4 linked regions of the Caenorhabditis elegans genome follow. The protein of the gene in region 1 interacts with the protein of each later gene in a pairwise test. Each region holds a gene or a part of one and is shown in the gene's direction. Other genes may lie near its edges.

Region 1 (5,193 bases):
TGAAAATGGAAAGTTGAGAGGAAGAGATATGCAGGTATGGGATAATGAGCTATCAAAACTAATAATCAAACTTATAGATGGTAGTAATCACTCACGATGAGCGACTCGTCAACAGGATCACAATCAGTTGTCGTCCAGAGTATATTTATTGTTTGGGGAAGGACGAGCACGGAATAAGTTTCCTTTCGAAACGTTATCCAGATGGAACAGTGAAAAGAGTTAATACGAAGAGACGGTTCTAGAATGGTATTGAAGAATCTCAATAGTACAAATAATATTTTACGGTCTCAAAATTGATTCGCTCACCTTTTAATTATGTTTTATGCTTTGTCAGATCATTCCCGAGTTTCCAAATGTTGTTACCTCATGTTTTATATTTTACGAGATGAACCCGATGCATCGGCCGATGTGAAATGAAAAATATTTTCTAACTGTTTCAATATTCTAATGCGTTTTTTGCTACGCTTTTGTTTCTTTCTTCTTGTTAAAAGCTAACCTTATTCATAAAAAATTTCGATTCAAGATCAGAATGTCTGACGATGAGGATGACTACATGTCTGCTGAAATTCTCCAAGGAGTTAGTGAACAACCAGTTGGAATTGCAAAATCTAGAGCTCACAAGCGAGAACTACAAATAAATTCAAGATTTGAAGAGTCCAGAGACACGTTTAAACCAAAAAGGCCAACTAGTCATGCTGAGCGAGGTTTGTAAATCGTAGTATATTATTTTTGTAGTTTACCAAATAAATTTCAGAAAAAGAACGTCGCGACGAGGCGCTCGCAAAACCGATTAGCCACGAATCGAAAGGATTTGCATTGATGGCAAAAATGGGATTCAAACCTGGTATGACATTGGGAAAGCAAAGAGAAGACGAAATTCGAATTACGGAACCAATTGGTGTCGATATCAAGGCTAATAGGAAGGGACTTGGGCACGAGGTTGAAGCAGTTCAAGAACGCAATGAACGAGTTGAGGCTGTAATGCAAAAAATGAAAGAACAAGCGGCAAAGCATGAAGAGCTGATCGATGACTATTCCAAACGGCGGAAGCTTGATGCCAACTCAAAGCAATTAGTCAAAGACATCAGATCTTGTCGAAAGGTGTGCGAAGAGTTGGATCATCGAATTGGAAAAAAAGTTCCCAGTGTTTCGTGGTTTTGGAGAAGTTATAAAGTTGCTCAAGAGGAAACTACATCTTACCATAAAAAAGTTGAAAAAGAAGATGAAGAATATAAGTACTCAAATGGTTTAGCAGCTCCAGAAGATCCGAATTATGATTTCACAATGTCAACGGAAATTTTAGAAGAAGCGTAAGTTTTTGTTTTGTAGATAAGGTTTCAATGAGCGTTATTTATCCAAACCGACAATAGTATTAAATATGCGTTTATTTCAGACTTTCCACTATCAACAATTATCTTCGAGATGGTCACTTCTATTGTATTTGGTGCGGAGCCAACTTTTCCTCGCCAGAAGATATGATCGAACATTGTCCTGGGAGCACTCGTCGAGCACATCATGGAGAAGATGAATAGATTAATTATTTTCATAAAATCTCAATTCTTGATGTATATACTATGAATCCTTTTTTATAACCAAGTTCGTGTCCTAACATCGTGTCACTTTTTTTTTTTGCTTTTTTGCTTCATTATTGTCTGCTCCTGTGTTGTTTCTCAAGGTGGGAACGTATCAAGTGACAAGTGACCACTAGTCAGTCAGCTTGAAGTGGCGATCAGTTGCCGCGCACCACCAGTAGCCCCCAACAGCGCGAAAAGCTTCTTTAGCGATAGAAAAGAACACAAACAATTGAAAAAGAAGAAAGTCCAGTGCACACACGACACTTGTGCTTCTTCAGCTACAGTCTTCAGTGGGCAGCAACATCAAGTTCCACCATCTTTATCATCTGCTCATCCATTCTCTCGATCTGTTCCGGTAAATTTGATTGCCAATCATTTTGCAAATCATGGCATGGTTAACGTCCATATTTTTCATTCTTCTAGCCGTTCAACCGGTTCTTCCACAGGATCTATATGGCACAGCAACTCAGCAGGTACAGTGAACTGTTCAAAAATTTGTAGCATTTGTTCTTATTTCTCTTTCTCAAAGTTTCTAATGCTTAGGGTCTCACCACGACCAAGATATTGTTCAAATGAAGGGCTCGCCAAGGGATTTGCACCTATAAGGAGTACTGTAGTTCAAGTTCAAGTTTTTTTTTCAATTTTTCCTCGTTCGTTCCGATTTTAATGCTTTATTTCTAACTATTTGTTTCGTATTTACATATAAATCGGTATGAGCTACAAGGAAAATATTTATGTAAAATCGAAAAAATTGTGAAATGAGTCGCACTACAGTACTATTTAAAATCACCGTATTTAAAATATTTCTGTCGTATCGAGACCTAATTTTGACAAAAAATCGCACAAAAAATCATTATGGTTTTAGGCAACATAAAGATTCCAATTGGATTCACAGACGATTTAAAAACTTAATTTTGAAAAAAATCAAAACAATCGTTTTTCTTTAGTGAATTGTATAAATATTTTCCAGCAGCCTTATCCATATGTACAACCTAGTGCTTCGTCTGGTTCTGGAGGCTACGTTCCAAATCCTCAATCAAGCATTCATACTGTTCAGCAGCCATATCCAAATATTGTAAGTTATAAAGGCTTGGGCCAGGGCCGAGGATAGGTCTATATTTGTTTACATTACCAGAATATCAAGAAACAATATTTAGGATGTAGTCGAACCAGATGTGGATAGTGTAGACATTTATGAAACTGAAGAACCTCAATTTAAAGTTGTGAACCCTGTATTTCCACTTGGTGGATCTGGAATCGTTGAACCTGGTACAATCCCACCACCAATGCCTCAAACTCAAGCTCCAGAAAAACCAGACAACAGCTATGCAATTAACTATTGTGATAAACGAGAATTCCCAGATGATGTACTAGCACAATATGGATTAGAAAGGATTGATTATTTTGTATACAACACTTCATGCTCTCATGTTTTCTTCCAGGTAATTTTTTGGAAATTATTTTTCTGAAATACAGAAATAGTTGAACAAATGTATAATTTAAAGTATTGAAACTTATCTTTATTGTATGCACGAAATAAGCTATTTTTATTTGTATGCTATCAATATTTATATTTCTACAGTCAATAGATTTCTGAAATTCCGAACTTCTTTCATATTTTCAGTGTTCAATTGGCCAGACTTTTCCTCTGGCGTGTATGTCCGAAGATCAAGCATTTGATAAGTCTACTGAAAATTGTAATCACAAGAATGCTATTAAATTCTGTCCAGAATACGATCATGTCATGCACTGTAGTAAGTCATTCAATTAAGAGTATGTATAAAATTTCATATGGCGTTGATGCACCATGAGGTGCGCTTGAAAGTTTGTAAATCTGCAATTTTCTGATTTTGATTTTATGGAAACTTAATTATTTCATCGATTTTTTCTCGAAATCTATAAAATATATTTATTTACAAAAAGCTCCAATATAAAATAGTGTTTGATATTGCAGCAATCAAAGACACCTGTACTGAAAATGAGTTTGCTTGTTGTGCAATGCCTCAATCCTGTATCCATGTGAGCAAACGTTGTGATGGTCACCCAGACTGTGCCGATGGGGAAGATGAGAACAATTGTCGTAAGTTACTCATTACAACAATTGCCAATTAAATTGAAAACCTTTAGCATCGTGTGCACGTGATGAGTTTGCATGTGTGAAGAGTGAACATTGTATTCCTGCAAACAAAAGATGTGACGGTGTGGCTGATGATTGTGAAGATGGATCGAATCTTGATGAAATTGGATGCAGTAAAAATACAAGTAATTTTTACTTTTTAAAATGTACTTTATAACAAAGTAATTAAAGCTTGTATTGGAAAGTTCGTCTGTGGAACATCGCGTGGAGGTGTTTCATGTGTGGATTTAGATATGCATTGTGATGGAAAGAAAGATTGTTTAAATGGAGAAGATGAAATGAATTGTAGTAAGTTTTTTTCTGCCTCCCTTCTTCTCACCCGGAAAACACCTCTGGAAAGTTATAAGTGGCGAAATAATGTACAGTACTTCCTCTAATAATATCGCATCCTACTATTTCACTTTAAAAGGTTATACCTCGGTTCAATTTAAAGATATTGAACATATTTTTCAATAAATAATTGACTGCAAACGATAGAAAAAAGTTTTCAAAAAATTGTCAAATGACAATTTTTAAATAGGAGAAAAGACAACTGAGATATTTAATTGTCAAAGTCTAACATTGGGAGTGCAACATTAATAGAAATACATACAATTTGGAATGTCTTTCTTAACTATAACCACACATTTTGGCACAACTTCAATGTGCGAACTTTTTCTTGTTCGAGACAAAAACATAGGAAAAAAAGTATTTTTAGCCAAGTGTCCAAATAAACACTGACGAATACTACACTTGTTATTTCAGAACAAGAAGGACGCCAAAAATATTTGCTCTGCGAGAATCAAAAACAATCAGTGACACGTCTACAATGGTGTAATGGAGAAACAGATTGTGCTGATGGATCTGATGAAAAATATTGTTACTAGATACTGCTGAACTTCTTGTCGATTTCCCTTAATTTATAAATAAATACATGAATGTCATTGCTTCTTGAAATATTCTTTCAAATTATTTGACAAAACGATTAGTTTCGCTTTGAAAATTTGACGGAAAAGAGGTCGAAAAGGGTGGGGACTGGTTATTTTTCAAGGTTTACTGTTTCTCTTTTTCTCTTCTTTTTGTTACTCTTACCCCTTTTCAACTTTGACACCGAAAGTCAACCAGTGTTAGACTCATGAGTATTTCCGTATATTCTGTTACTATTTTCACACTTTTGACATTACTTCCGTTAATATGTATATCACTGGAGTGCATCAACTCAACATCATACATGGACAGAGTTCTCGTCAAACCAATGAGCTCACATTGTCGTTTGAATAATGCACTTTGTGTGAAGACAATGCAAATTAGTCAGAATTCTGGTATGCACATATTTTTTGAAGTTGGAACTTTTAATATTGATCATTTCGTATTGACCGTCTCCGACTCAATATTTTTTGTTCCAACATTGATTAACTACCATTAACTGTCATTAAGTTCTGGTCCAAAAAATTGAATCAGAAGTTGGCAGAAGTTTGAACAAAGTTGAGCTAAAATTTTTAA
Region 2 (4,240 bases), on another chromosome or scaffold:
GATTTTTTTGTGCTCCGAGAGCTTGGAAGTCTGCATCTAATGGGGATTCTGATCTTCCGGGAGAATCCATACACATGGTGTCAGAGTGTCCCATATCGGCTTGATCTACGTAGATTTACAAAAAACGCGGGAGAAGAGACGCAAAGTTCTCAACTGATTTCGCATGATTAAGAACGTGCTGACGTCACATTTTTTTTGCAAAAAAATCCCGCATTTTTTGTAGATCAAACCGTAATGGGACAGCCTGGCACCATGTGTCCGTTTGGTTACAGGGGCGGTAAGGCTTAGTGGCCTACAAATCTGAAGTTAGGCCATGATTTTTTTAATCGAAAAAACACTGAATTCCTATTCAACTCAACTTGCGAAAACTCTATGCGCCGTTGAACTTCTTTGCAAAAGTATTGATAATAGGTCAGCGGCTACTTTCACGCCAATTCGAAATTTCGAAATATTTCGCAATACCTATGTACCTTTAAACCTTTTTCGCGTTGAGACCTACTCCGACAATTTCCAGAACCATGCTCTCCAATTTTGATGTATTTTTTTCAGAAACAGAAGGACAAAAAATAGTTGTATATTAAAAGCGAACCCCTACGCGTCGTAAATCGACACCGGCCGTGGCCGAGATAAAATGGCCTAGTTCAGCCAAATCTTAGATTTAAAAATATGAAAGCTAGTCCTCGAAACGTTTTTTATTAAAAAAAATTTAACTTTCGGGAAAAAACAAAAAAATAGTACGTTTTTCAAATTGTTTCGGATTTGATTGATTGAAAAAAACCTTTTTGGAGTAAAAAAAATTTCAGATTAAAAACTAAAAATTTTCTAATCACATCACCTGTCACACACGTTGGAAAAAATGATTTATTGAAAATTTTCTGGCCTAAAATAGCTCTGAGAACTGGAAATTTTCTAAAGAACCGAAAAATTAGTAACTACGAAATTCCAGCTCAATTTCAGCAAAAACGGAGCAGCAACGGGGGGCTAAAATAGAAGTTTGACGTATTTCGGCAGCCATCCGGCACCAGGCGGAATATTTAAGTGAGAAGGGTGGAGTTACTCGTCATTTACCCCCGGAAGTTTCTAATAGCAGCTGAAAATACTTTTTTTGGATATTAAACTATTTTTTCGAAAACTTGGGTTATTCTCAGAATGAATATCAAAATCATATTAAGCTCGTTGAGAGCTTTGAAATGACACCCATATTGACATGTTTTGGGTCTCGCTGCGAAAAAAAATTAAAGGCGCATAAGGGTTTTTTTTTGAAAATTTCAAAGTATGGCTTGATTATACTTTTTGAAAGTTCTCAGCGGGGAGAACTCTGAATTGAGTAATGCTGAAAATTTTATTCATGGCCTAACTTTTGAAATTCTAGGCCATATAAGAAAAATCACATTTTTAAGGGTTTTAGACCTGATTTTTAAAGTTTCTTTTTTGAGAAATAAAAGCAATTTTAGAAAATTTTCAAATATTCCACAAAAAAACGTACAAAAGCAAAAATCTCCATCCTAAACGACAGAAAATTGGCGAAAAAATGAGAATTTTGGAAAAGATACGGCTCGGTTTCCGGAAATCTGCACACAATACCCATCGATACAGTCTTTGTAGTGGCTTTGGCGGATAGAAACTTCACAAAGATGTGCTCAAAAGCTCAAAAGCTTTCCCGCGGGCCACTTGAAGCTTCCGCTCATCCACCGTATCCGATTTCGTTTTTTTCCACCGCAACCGATTTGTGTGATGGACGCAGAGTTTGGTTAATGATATTTTTAATTTGAAATTTATCTTTTTTTTAGAAAAAAAATTGAATTTTCAGGGATTTTCAGCTACTTCCTGCGATTTTCCATTAAAAATCTCTGCGTCTCAATGTCTCCCCGCACTCTCTCGCTGGTTCTCGTCGAGAAACGCGCCAAGGCGAGTGCTGGCGCACTTACTGGGATCGAAAAACGCGTCAACTGGAATTTTCTTTTTCCCCGGAATTTCTACGCTCAATTTTTACCGATTTTCCTCGAATTTTTTGCGTTTTTTCGCAAATTTTCATTGAAAAATCATGTCGGACACAGCGGACAGTCTATCAGCACGTGGAATCCCAAAAAGCGAGCTCATTGTAAGTCGGAAAATTTAAAAAATTGAAAATCTCTAAAAACTCGAGAAAAAATCCAGTAAACCAGTATTTTCCATTGAATTTTGGAAGAAGTCTCAAGAATTTCCTCAAAAAACTAAGTTTTCCCTCAAAACTGAAAAATTCGGGAAAAAAATGTCAAATCCTATTTTTCAAACAAAAATTGGAGTTTGTTATGGAAATTTTCTGGAATTTTAGTGAAAAATCTTTAAAAAATATTAGAAAATTCACAAATTCCTCTCTGAACCCCATTTTTTTTCAGGAAGACGTCGAGTCATGGCTCACAAAGGAGAAGCTTTCGATCGAGGAAGCCGAAGTTGTGCTCCGTGAGAAATACGGAAAGTACAAATACGTCGAATCATCGATGCTCGCTCAAAAAGTACGAATGAGCGAAAAAATCCCGGAATTCGAGAACAGTTTGAGCATTATCGACACATTAATCGCGAAAAGAGCCGCCGATGAGTCGTTCGAGACGACTTTCCTGCTCTCCGATGATGTCTACACAAAAGCCACTGTTCAGAAGCCCGAGAAGGTAGAAAAAACGCTGAAAATTCAAGAAAAATAGCTGGAAATCGATATTTTCAAGGAAAAATCGCCTAAAATCAAGTTCCCACAATTTTTTCCTCGAAAATTCACAAAAAATGTGATTTTTCAACCAATTTTAACACAAAAATGCCAGAAAACCCCATTTTTAAGGAAATTGGCACTTGAAAACCGCAAAAATTTGAATTTTTGACTTTAATTTTTTTTTTCCCAAGAAAATACCTAAAAATCCTCATTTTAAGCCAATTTCAGCATTAAAAAAGGCTGAATTTTAGAATTTTTAGTCAACTTGCACAGGGAAACTTCACAATATTTTTTTCTAGCTATTTTTCAAAAAAAAAATCAATTTTTGATGCGAAAAACTTCAAAAAACCAACTTTCAGCAATTTTCGGCAATTTTTATCGAAAAAACTCAAAATTTCGTATTTTAAAAAGCAATTTCCTCCCAAAAACCCAGAATTATAATTTTTTAGCAATTTTTCCCGGAAAAACATTAAAAATTCTGATTTTCAGCCCTAAAAATGGCTCAATAATTCAATTTTCAGAAAAACCCTCTAAAATTCCCGAAATTTCCAGGTATCAATCTGGCTTGGAGCCAACGTAATGGTCGAATATGACCTTGAAAATGCTCGAAAACTGCTCGACAAAAACCGTGGCTCCGTTCAAAAAGTGGTCGACGAGCTGACAAACGAATTGTCATATATTAAGGATCAAATCACCACAACCGAAGTCAACATGTCCCATATTGTCAATTTTGGAGTTAATAAACGTCGTGCCGCTCTCGCTGTCAATAATGGAGCGAAATAATTGATCAAAATTACACAATTTTCCCCGTTTTTCGCCCGAAAAATCTCTTGAAATCCCCTTTAAAATCCCATTTTTTGATTGTTTCTGCTGAATTTTTGTTGAATTTTCCGTATTTTTGTCCCGCCACATCCCCCCGATTTGCTTTTAAATTTTGCTATAATTTTTCGCCAATTTTTCATAAAATTCAAAAATCCAAAAAAGTGCAGAAATTTTGAAAACAAAAATCGATTTTCCCATATTATTTGACTAAAATTGGATATTTTTCACTATTTTTCAAAAGATTTTCTCCAAAAATCGTGATTTTTTCCCGTTTTTAGCTTGAAATTTGCAATTTTTCTCACGAAATTCAAAAATTCAAAAAATTTAACAGCAACAAAAATTTAAAAAATCAACAATCAAATTAAAAAAATAAATTATTCGGCGACCGGGAGCATCGTGGCATGAGTCAGGTACCCAGTGTGTGTTGGCTGAGAATATGGATAGACGATTGCAATTGTGATACGTGGAATGGCGGAGCTGCTGAAAATTTGCACAATTTTAGCTCGATGGCCTGGATTTTCACTCCGGGGTTCGAGTCCCCACTGTGGTCGAAATATTTTTATTGGTTCTTTTTCAATTTTTTTAGGGTAAACCAAGGGTCCTGAGCTCGAAAATCAACATCTCAGCAGCCAGAAATCAATGGAAAATGCCCAAACCTTTGCTCAACGATTGTTCCATCGACATTTCTCTTCCGTTCCTTCGGATAAGCATCACCGAGCTCTTCAAACTCTTCAA
Region 3 (4,564 bases), 1.3 Mb from region 1:
CGTAGCTGCGAATAATTCCGAATCGATTATACTTCAGAAACCTTTGTGTTGCGTCGAGATCCATTGGAGAGCTGTTAGATACAAATCGTTCAGGAATAAGAACTTTTCGGGGAGCAGGTGGATCAGAATAGACTTGCGGGAGAGGATCATTCAAATTTCTGTCCGAGCTCATCGGTCGCATTTCCTCAGGTTCACCGAGTTTAAAACCGAATTCTTCAAGCCCTCCAAGATCTTGGTTCCCATAATTGAATTGTCGTTTGATAGCTCCAAGATCGGAAGACACTAAAATTAAAACATCAAGAGAAATTATATTTACAATCCCTCACTTCGGGTATCTTCATCTTCTTCAATGGCTTCTTCATTGAATAAACTATCTTTTTTGAGTGAAGTTCTATTCAAAAGGATTGAGTCGTCATCATCACTATCAACTGCAACATCTTCAGTTTTGTTTGAAACAGGCTTCTCGTTAGATGAATCATCTTTGAAGACATTAAACAAACAGATTCCTCTCTAAAATATTGTTACTTGAAAGTGCTCGAAAAGGGAAAAACTCACATTTGAATCAGCGACAATCAATTTTTTTGGGGAGAATGGAGAAAAAACAATAGAAGTGATGATAGTGATACCAGGTGCATTTCTCACGAATTTTTCACAACACACAATATCTCTGGAAAAAATGTATTATTTATCAGTTCACACATTTACCTAAATTTACAATTCATCACTATTCCAAACAGCAATTTGATTATCCATGGTTGAGGAGGCAAGATACTTCCCACACGGCGAAAGCGCAGTAACCGAAAAATCCACAGAAGCATGATCTTTCAAACGGTATACACCAGATTCTTCCCACCCATTTCGACGGTACGATTTCACACATCCTTTTGAAGGAACAAACAGCCATTGACCATCCTTTGACCATGAGAGTTGAATACGAGGTCGTGAAACACTGAAAAACAGGACATTGTTTAAAACCGAAGTATAACATGAAACACTAACTCAATTGTTTCAAATCTTGGGAAAACCTTGGTCAGTGTGTGTTTAATCGAGAATGAATCAATGTCTATAATAGTCACATTGCCATCCACAGTAGAAACGGCCACAAATTCATTTTTTGGATCCAGTTTGACACAAAGAACTTCAGCTTCAAGACTTCTCGTTTTCAGCTCTGCATCTAAATCTTTCATATTCGTGCATTTAACCGCATAATCGCTAGATCCTCCAATAACATTTTCCCTGTTTGCGTCGACCGTTGTGACATCCATTTGGAATTCAAGAGGATCAATAATATCTCCTGCTTCGAAATTGCCCTTTTTCGCCCGTCCCACCATTTGCTGCTCGGATCCAACAATGAAATCCACCTTGCGGTAACCAAAACAGATGTTTTCTCCATACCAAGCAATAGATGATGTTGTCGCATCGGGAATCTCGATTATTTCAGGTTTTTCATCTTGCAGCAACACGTTCTTATTGATCTTGAGTACATTTCGTTCAGCATCACAAACGTAAATCTGAAAAAAACAGGTAAATATGTTTATAAATCGTTTTAAATCCTACATTTTCAGTATCTTCTCCTGAAGCATCAATGCAGATAGTTTGAAGGCCGATATTCTCCAAATTTTTAACGTTAGTAAAGCTCATCTGAAAACAATGGAATTACGAGTGAAATTATTTATTTTCATCAAAAATAAATAAAATGCGAGCAAATTTTAAACCTGATTCTTGGCGCCGAAATGCGGTAAAAAAGTGTAATGCAACCATGGACCAGTGAACTGCGTAGAACCCCTATGTTTTGCGTACTGGCATTCTGCCAGGGGCACATACGCAGACTTTTCAGTGTATTTTTCCTCTGAAGAACACCACTCTTTTCAAGCGCCTCTTCTTTGAGCGTCGCTTCACTAGATTCTCCGACTCGTTGGTGACATCATGACCGGAGTAAGTTTATAAAATTAATTTCATTAAATTTGCAGTGCTGTTAAGAATAGTTAACGTGATTTCCGTTCGTTGCATTGAAAAATGATTAGGCCAAACCTTGAAATGACGAAATTTAACCAATTATTGATTTTTATTTTGCAGAAACTGTATGGAAACAAGGACAACTTCAGAACCCAAAAGGTTTTGATTGCTGCCAAGCTCGCCAACAAGACTGTCACCCTCGCCGGAGATGCTGCTCCAGCTGACAAGTTCCCACTTGGAGTTGTACGTTTTAATTTATTTAGATGTCAGTATTTGACGATCTGTGAACTATCAATGTGCAGAATTTCAGACCCCAGCATTTGAAGGAGATGCTCTTCTCTTCGGAGCTGAGTCGATCGGACTTCACCTGACTGGAACCTCAGCTAACGCCGAGACTGTCCAATGGCTTCAATTCGCAGAAGGTTATCTTCTTCCAGCTGTTCTCGGATACGTTCTTCCATCTGTGTCTGCAGCCAACTTTGACAAGAAGACTGTTGAACAATACAAGAATGAACTCAACGGACAACTCCAAGTACTCGATCGTGTTCTTGTTAAAAAGACCTACTTGGTTGGAGAACGTCTTTCTCTTGCCGACGTTTCCGTTGCTCTTGATCTTCTCCCAGCTTTCCAAGTACACTATGACCCAGATTATATGTATACACTCCTAATTTTCAGTATGTTCTTGATGCCAACGCTAGAAAGTCCATCGTCAACGTCACCCGTTGGTTCAGAACCGTTGTTAACCAGCCAGCTGTTAAGGAGGTTCTTGGAGAAGTTTCCCTTGCCTCATCGGTTGCTCAATTCAACCGTAAGTTTCTTTTTTGTTAGTGTGAATTTGTTTTGTTCCACTGCGAAGTCAGCAGACTAGTCAATCGATTAGTAGGCGTTACAGTGGTGGAATATCAAGATTTATGTACACCGTCTTTGCTTGAAACAGTTTTTGTTTTTGCTTTGTTCGGAACGTTTTTCATGGGACTGAGAGTTGGAAATTTAGCACTGGTCGTTTACAGGGTTGTCCTGCAGTCAATTCTAAGTTACCTTAGTTTATGTCCCACACATTTAAAAAGAAATCTAATTTTATAAAAAAACTTCTGATTTTGTATTCCCAGTTTAAATTTTATTCTTATTTTACAGAAGCCAAGTTCACTGAGCTCAGCGCTAAAGTCGCCAAGTCTGCTCCAAAGGCCGAGAAGCCAAAGAAAGAGGCCAAGCCAGCTGCTGCGGCTGCCCAGCCAGAGGACGATGAACCAAAGGAGGAGAAGAGCAAGGATCCATTCCAAGATATGCCAAAGGGAACATTCGTTCTTGACAATTTCAAGAGATCTTATTCCAACGAAGACACCGCTACCAAGGCTATCCCACACTTCTGGGAGAACTTCGATGCTGACAACTGGTCCATCTGGAAGTGCGAGTACAAATACCCAGAAGATCTCACTCTCGCCTTCATGAGCTGTAACCTTATCAATGGAATGTACCAAAGACTGGAGAAGTTGAAGAAGAATGCTTTCGCCTCCATGATTCTTTTCGGAACCGACAACAATTCGACCATCTCAGGAATCTGGGTGTGGAAGGGTGACAAGCTCGCCTTCGAACTCAGCCCAGACTGGCAGGTAGGACCATTTCCTCGATTTTGAATGTCGAAGAGTAGTCATTTGTATACGTGATACACTTATACAGAGTTACACTTTTCGTATATAAGTGCTTCTTCTCGTTGGAGTTGTTTATTTAATGAGCAATTACCTCTAAACTGAAAGCAACAATTTTATGAATTCTCGATAGTTTTCACAATAATATATTTCAGGTTGATTACGAATCGTACACCTGGACAAAGCTTGACGCCAAGTCCGATGCCACCAAGAAGGAAGTCAACGAGTATCTTATGTGGGAGGGAGACTTCGGAGGAAAGAAGTTCAACCAAGGAAAGATTTTCAAGTAAACTGGAGTTTCCATACAACCCGGTGTATTTGCCATTTAATCCTGTTGTTTACTCTGAGTCGGAAAGAATAAATTGTTTTCTATTGTTTATAAAGGACCCGGTATCACTTCAATAAATTATATCTTCTTCAAGTTGAGATTGAATTTATTCGTCTATAAGTGTTCCTAAATAATTTTAGATTTAAAAATTAGCTCCTAAGCTTGTTTCTTCGTTTTCGGTCGTCGTATAGTCCTCGATGTGTCCTTCGAAATATTCTTGATTTGCGTGTTCCAAAAAGCAAGATTTGATGTCGTTGAAATATTGTACACATTGCAAATGGTTGATTGAGAGGCTATTGACATCACTATCTTGACTCTGTAAAAATCATTGCGTGTCAGTAAAATGTCTCTCAAACCTGATCGCAGAAAGAGTGACAGTGTATTGGAACTAATGATTTGGAGCAGCATTCCGTGTGGTTTGTTCCTCGTGCCGCACAAAAATGAATCTTTTGAATTGCAGTCACTGGGCACACTGATTGTTGAAGAAACACTGCACTGACTTCTTCTGATGAGTACGTAGAATATGAGCATAAATCTGTGCAAGATGATTCAACTTCGAGAAGTGAGCAGCAGGTGGCAAAGTGCTCATCCGGTGTCTGTTATTTAGATATTATTGAAATTAAAATTTCCAGGA
Region 4 (3,285 bases), on another chromosome or scaffold:
CATAAATCTTCAAATGAAAAGTTTGCTTTTAGTAATCCCATTCTCAGTAAGAAAACAATTAAGATAAAAACTAATGTATAATAATTTTAGTTTATTACTGGCAAAAACCAATTGCCTTCAATAATTCGAAATAATGACGATCAGCTCAAAACTTGAGCATGGCACGTTCACTTTTAACTTTTTCGAAAAAGTAATAAAAATGTCCCTCACCATGAATGTATTATTGACAAAGCTTCAATATTTTTAAATTTAACATTAGGAGAAACAAAATTCAACATTACACATTTGAGTGCATAACAATTTGGCGATCAGGAATAAATTTCAAAATTTACTACTATATTTGTAAAACTTATGAAACAGAAATTAATTTTTAAACTTTTTTGCTCTGAAACTATGTGACTATGTTCTTACTTTTGCTCGATTAATTCTTCTCATCAACCATCTCTGAAAATCCGATGGTGACTCACAATCACAGGCAAATCTGCTGAAATTCCCACCCAATCGAATCTGAATTTCTCTTTTATTATTATCAACCAAACTGAAATGGAAAGTTTCGTTTTGTAACCCAATGATTCCACCAAAAAATGACTGTTTTGTCTTATCATGATGGAACATAGATAAACTGGTTTCTGGTCAAATGTCCTTTCCTTTTGAAGTGACTAACCTTTTTTAAACCATCCAAATGATTTAAGGATGTTGATGAAAGTTGATCCAATGGGTTATCAGATAAGTAGAGATGAGTTAAAGATGGTAATTTTGTAATGGTTTCTGGAATTGAGGTGATGGCAGAAGATGTTATTTCGAGATGGGTCAAATTGGCAAGATCAGTGAGCTTTTCCTGAAATAATTTTTTTGTGGACATTATTTGCGAAATATGGAAATTGATTAGAATTTAACTAAATTAGATGATGCTCTAAATTAGGTGAAATTTTCGGACAACACAATGACAGCAGGATTAAAATTTCAAATATCATACTGCATAAGTAGGCATGTCGAAACAGTAAAAAATTGTTTACATAAATACATCCAATTGCATAAAATAATTGAAAAATACATAGTTCTATATTTGAAAAACCTTAGGAACACAAAACCAGTTAGTTAAGTTTCCCTCAATTTTCAAAATTAACCTCCGGATTCAAAAAATAACTCACCATTTCCACTGAAGTCATTTTGCTATTTGTGATCTTCAAAGCTCGCAAGTTGCTCAGTTCTTTCAATTTCTCGGTCTAAAAGTCTTGATGTCTAATGAATTCTTCCAAAGAAAAAAAAACCTCAAAAATCTTCCAATCAGTCTGATTCATATGTAATTGTGTCAATGGGGATGGAAATTTTCCGAGCTTATCCCATCGAAGTTTGTCGCAAACCATAATGTTTTGAGATGTCTGAAATAATGTTCCGGGTTAACCAAAAAAGTTTCAAATTAGTTCCGTTTCTCTTCTATTGTGCCTTATCATCCAAGAAAAAACCAATTGGAAAGTGTAAAGTTAGCGAAACCGCGCGGGCGTACCTGACAACAAAGATAGATCCATAGTGATAGGATGAGTGATAATGGGAAATGTGGAGACATAGATTTGGTAACACAAAATGAAAAAAAAAATGAAAAAAGGAAACAGTGATCAAGAGAAAATTGTCAGTATAAAAGGAATGGGTTTAACATGGAAAGGCATCATCCAATCTTGATCATCTCAAAAATGGAGGACAACAAAATCAAGGTATTCACAAATTGTTTGGTTTAGTTTAAAGTTCTAAGAGGCTTTAGAATTTAATTTTAAAAACCATTCATGACTCTTATTTTTCGAAAATTATACAATTTTTCAGGCCTACCGTCTCATCGGGTATGCCGCAGTCTCCCTCTCAGCTGTCGGAATTCTTTCCGTTTGCATTACTCTTCCACTCGTTTATTCTTATGTGAGCAACCTCCGCTCTCAAATGCACTCTGAGCTCCGTCACTGCCGTGACACCGTTAACACGGTATATGCTACCGCTGTCGCTATGCCAGCTCTTCCCGGGAGAGGGAACCGTACCGCGCGTCAAGCTGGATACGATGTTGCCGTTCAAGACGCCCCAGCCCAGGAGCACAATAGCTGCGACGGATGCTGCTTGCCAGGAGCCGCTGGATCAGTCGGAGCTGCCGGACGCCCAGGAACTCCAGGACGCCCAGGTGCACCAGGAGCCCCAGGACACCCAGGAAAGCCACCACAGTCACCATGTGAACCATTAACCCCACCACCATGCCCAGCTTGCCCACCAGGGCCACCAGGAGCTCCAGGAGCACCAGGAAAGCCAGGATCCGAGGGACCACCAGGACCACCAGGGCACGATGGACCAAATGGAGGACCAGGACAACCAGGACAACCAGGACCACACGGACCAAACGGACACCCAGGAAAGCCAGGATCCCAAGGACCACCAGGACCACCAGGACACTCCGACGAGCCAAAGCCAGGACAACCAGGACAGCCAGGACGTGCTGGACCACGTGGACCACGTGGAGTTGCTGGAATCAAGGGCAAGGATGGAGCTCCAGGATCCCCAGGACAACCAGGACCACGTGGAGGACCAGGAGAGCCAGGACAAGATGGAGCTCCAGGACAACCAGGACTTCCAGGATCCGATGGAACTCCAGGAGAGAAGGGAATCTGTCCAAAATACTGTGCTATCGATGGAGGAGTCTTCTTCGAGGACGGATCCAGACGCTAGATTTTATTTCGTCTCTCCCATTTTTCATAAAGAGTTTAGCATTCCAATATTGTTTTTTTAGTTCGAAAATACACAAAATGAGTTTTTCAAAAAGCTAGAATTGATGAAATATCTAATTTCCCAGTTTCCAAAAATCATACCCTCACAATAGAGACATCCGCAGATCTCAAGCATTTGCACGTCGGCGGGCATTCGAAACGACATTCACATTCTTTTTTCTGACAACATTCACAATCTGCTTCACACATCTGAAAAAAATTACTGTTTCAAAGTTACTATGTATTTGAAATTTTTTTTAGCCTACCTTGAAACCTTTTTTAATTATCAGTTCAATTTTCTCGATTAATTTTTTGAAGAAAATGTTTGATAGCATAATTAAAGTCTGTTGGGTATATAATTACTGTTGTTTGATATCAGGCTTTTTCTCAGCACGGTTTTATTAAACTATACATCTTAGTCTCTTTTAAATCGAATTATATTGGTAGTACGCCACCAATTGTTTTTTCAATTAAAATGAAACATTTATAAAATAACTTACATTAGAATATTTGCAGAGCAGTTGATTCCTTGAATGAGCTAACGTGA

The links.
Region 2: the proteins of lrx-1 (region 1) and pfd-3 interact in a two-hybrid assay, tested with the Caenorhabditis elegans proteins (one large-scale study listed by BioGRID).
Region 3: the proteins of lrx-1 (region 1) and eef-1G interact in a two-hybrid assay, tested with the Caenorhabditis elegans proteins (one large-scale study listed by BioGRID).
Region 4: the proteins of lrx-1 (region 1) and col-122 interact in a two-hybrid assay, tested with the Caenorhabditis elegans proteins (one large-scale study listed by BioGRID).

The regions. Positions count from the first base shown.
Region 1 is NC_003283.11:12,250,818-12,256,010, forward strand, and holds lrx-1 (LRP X(cross)-hybridizing), read left to right. Parts: upstream 1-1,867; 5' UTR 1,868-1,960; coding exon 1,961-2,047; intron 2,048-2,544; coding exon 2,545-2,649; intron 2,650-2,731; coding exon 2,732-3,016; intron 3,017-3,198; coding exon 3,199-3,328; intron 3,329-3,528; coding exon 3,529-3,654; intron 3,655-3,701; coding exon 3,702-3,836; intron 3,837-3,882; coding exon 3,883-3,999; intron 4,000-4,455; coding exon 4,456-4,577; 3' UTR 4,578-4,633; downstream 4,634-5,193. Other genes in the region: rad-50 (Zinc-hook domain-containing protein), read left to right, coding at 1-34, 78-242; T04H1.5 (G patch domain-containing protein 11), read left to right, coding at 530-704, 755-1,310, 1,394-1,532; T04H1.12 (Activin_recp domain-containing protein), read left to right, coding at 4,826-5,012.
Region 2 is NC_003279.8:12,726,211-12,730,450, forward strand, and holds pfd-3 (putative prefoldin subunit 3), read left to right. Parts: upstream 1-1,926; 5' UTR 1,927-2,044; coding exon 2,045-2,101; intron 2,102-2,378; coding exon 2,379-2,648; intron 2,649-3,235; coding exon 3,236-3,466; 3' UTR 3,467-3,688; downstream 3,689-4,240. Other genes in the region: trm-61A (tRNA (adenine(58)-N(1))-methyltransferase catalytic subunit TRMT61A), read right to left, coding at 3,880-3,985, 4,162-4,240. UniProt on the Caenorhabditis elegans protein: Binds specifically to cytosolic chaperonin (c-CPN) and transfers target proteins to it. Binds to nascent polypeptide chain and promotes folding in an environment in which there are many competing pathways for nonnative proteins.
Region 3 is NC_003283.11:10,963,899-10,968,462, forward strand, and holds eef-1G (putative elongation factor 1-gamma), read left to right. Parts: upstream 1-1,820; 5' UTR 1,821-1,926; coding exon 1,927-1,935; intron 1,936-2,076; coding exon 2,077-2,199; coding exon of another isoform or gene 2,200-2,221; intron 2,222-2,266; coding exon 2,267-2,587; intron 2,588-2,631; coding exon 2,632-2,764; intron 2,765-2,799; exon of another isoform or gene 2,800-3,017; intron 3,018-3,090; coding exon 3,091-3,566; intron 3,567-3,591; exon of another isoform or gene 3,592-3,718; intron 3,719-3,757; coding exon 3,758-3,892; 3' UTR 3,893-4,024; downstream 4,025-4,564. Other genes in the region: ctf-4 (WDHD1/CFT4 second beta-propeller domain-containing protein), read right to left, coding at 1-282, 327-510, 556-667, 716-949, 1,000-1,511, 1,558-1,641; dbd-16 (DB domain-containing protein), read right to left, coding at 4,073-4,246, 4,287-4,526. UniProt on the Caenorhabditis elegans protein: Probably plays a role in anchoring the complex to other cellular components.
Region 4 is NC_003282.8:9,561,697-9,564,981, forward strand, and holds col-122 (Nematode cuticle collagen N-terminal domain-containing protein), read left to right. Parts: upstream 1-1,682; 5' UTR 1,683-1,691; coding exon 1,692-1,712; intron 1,713-1,818; coding exon 1,819-2,700; 3' UTR 2,701-2,745; downstream 2,746-3,285. Other genes in the region: lron-14 (eLRR (extracellular Leucine-Rich Repeat) ONly), read right to left, coding at 412-507, 665-838, 1,152-1,226, 1,272-1,382, 2,841-2,948, 3,239-3,285.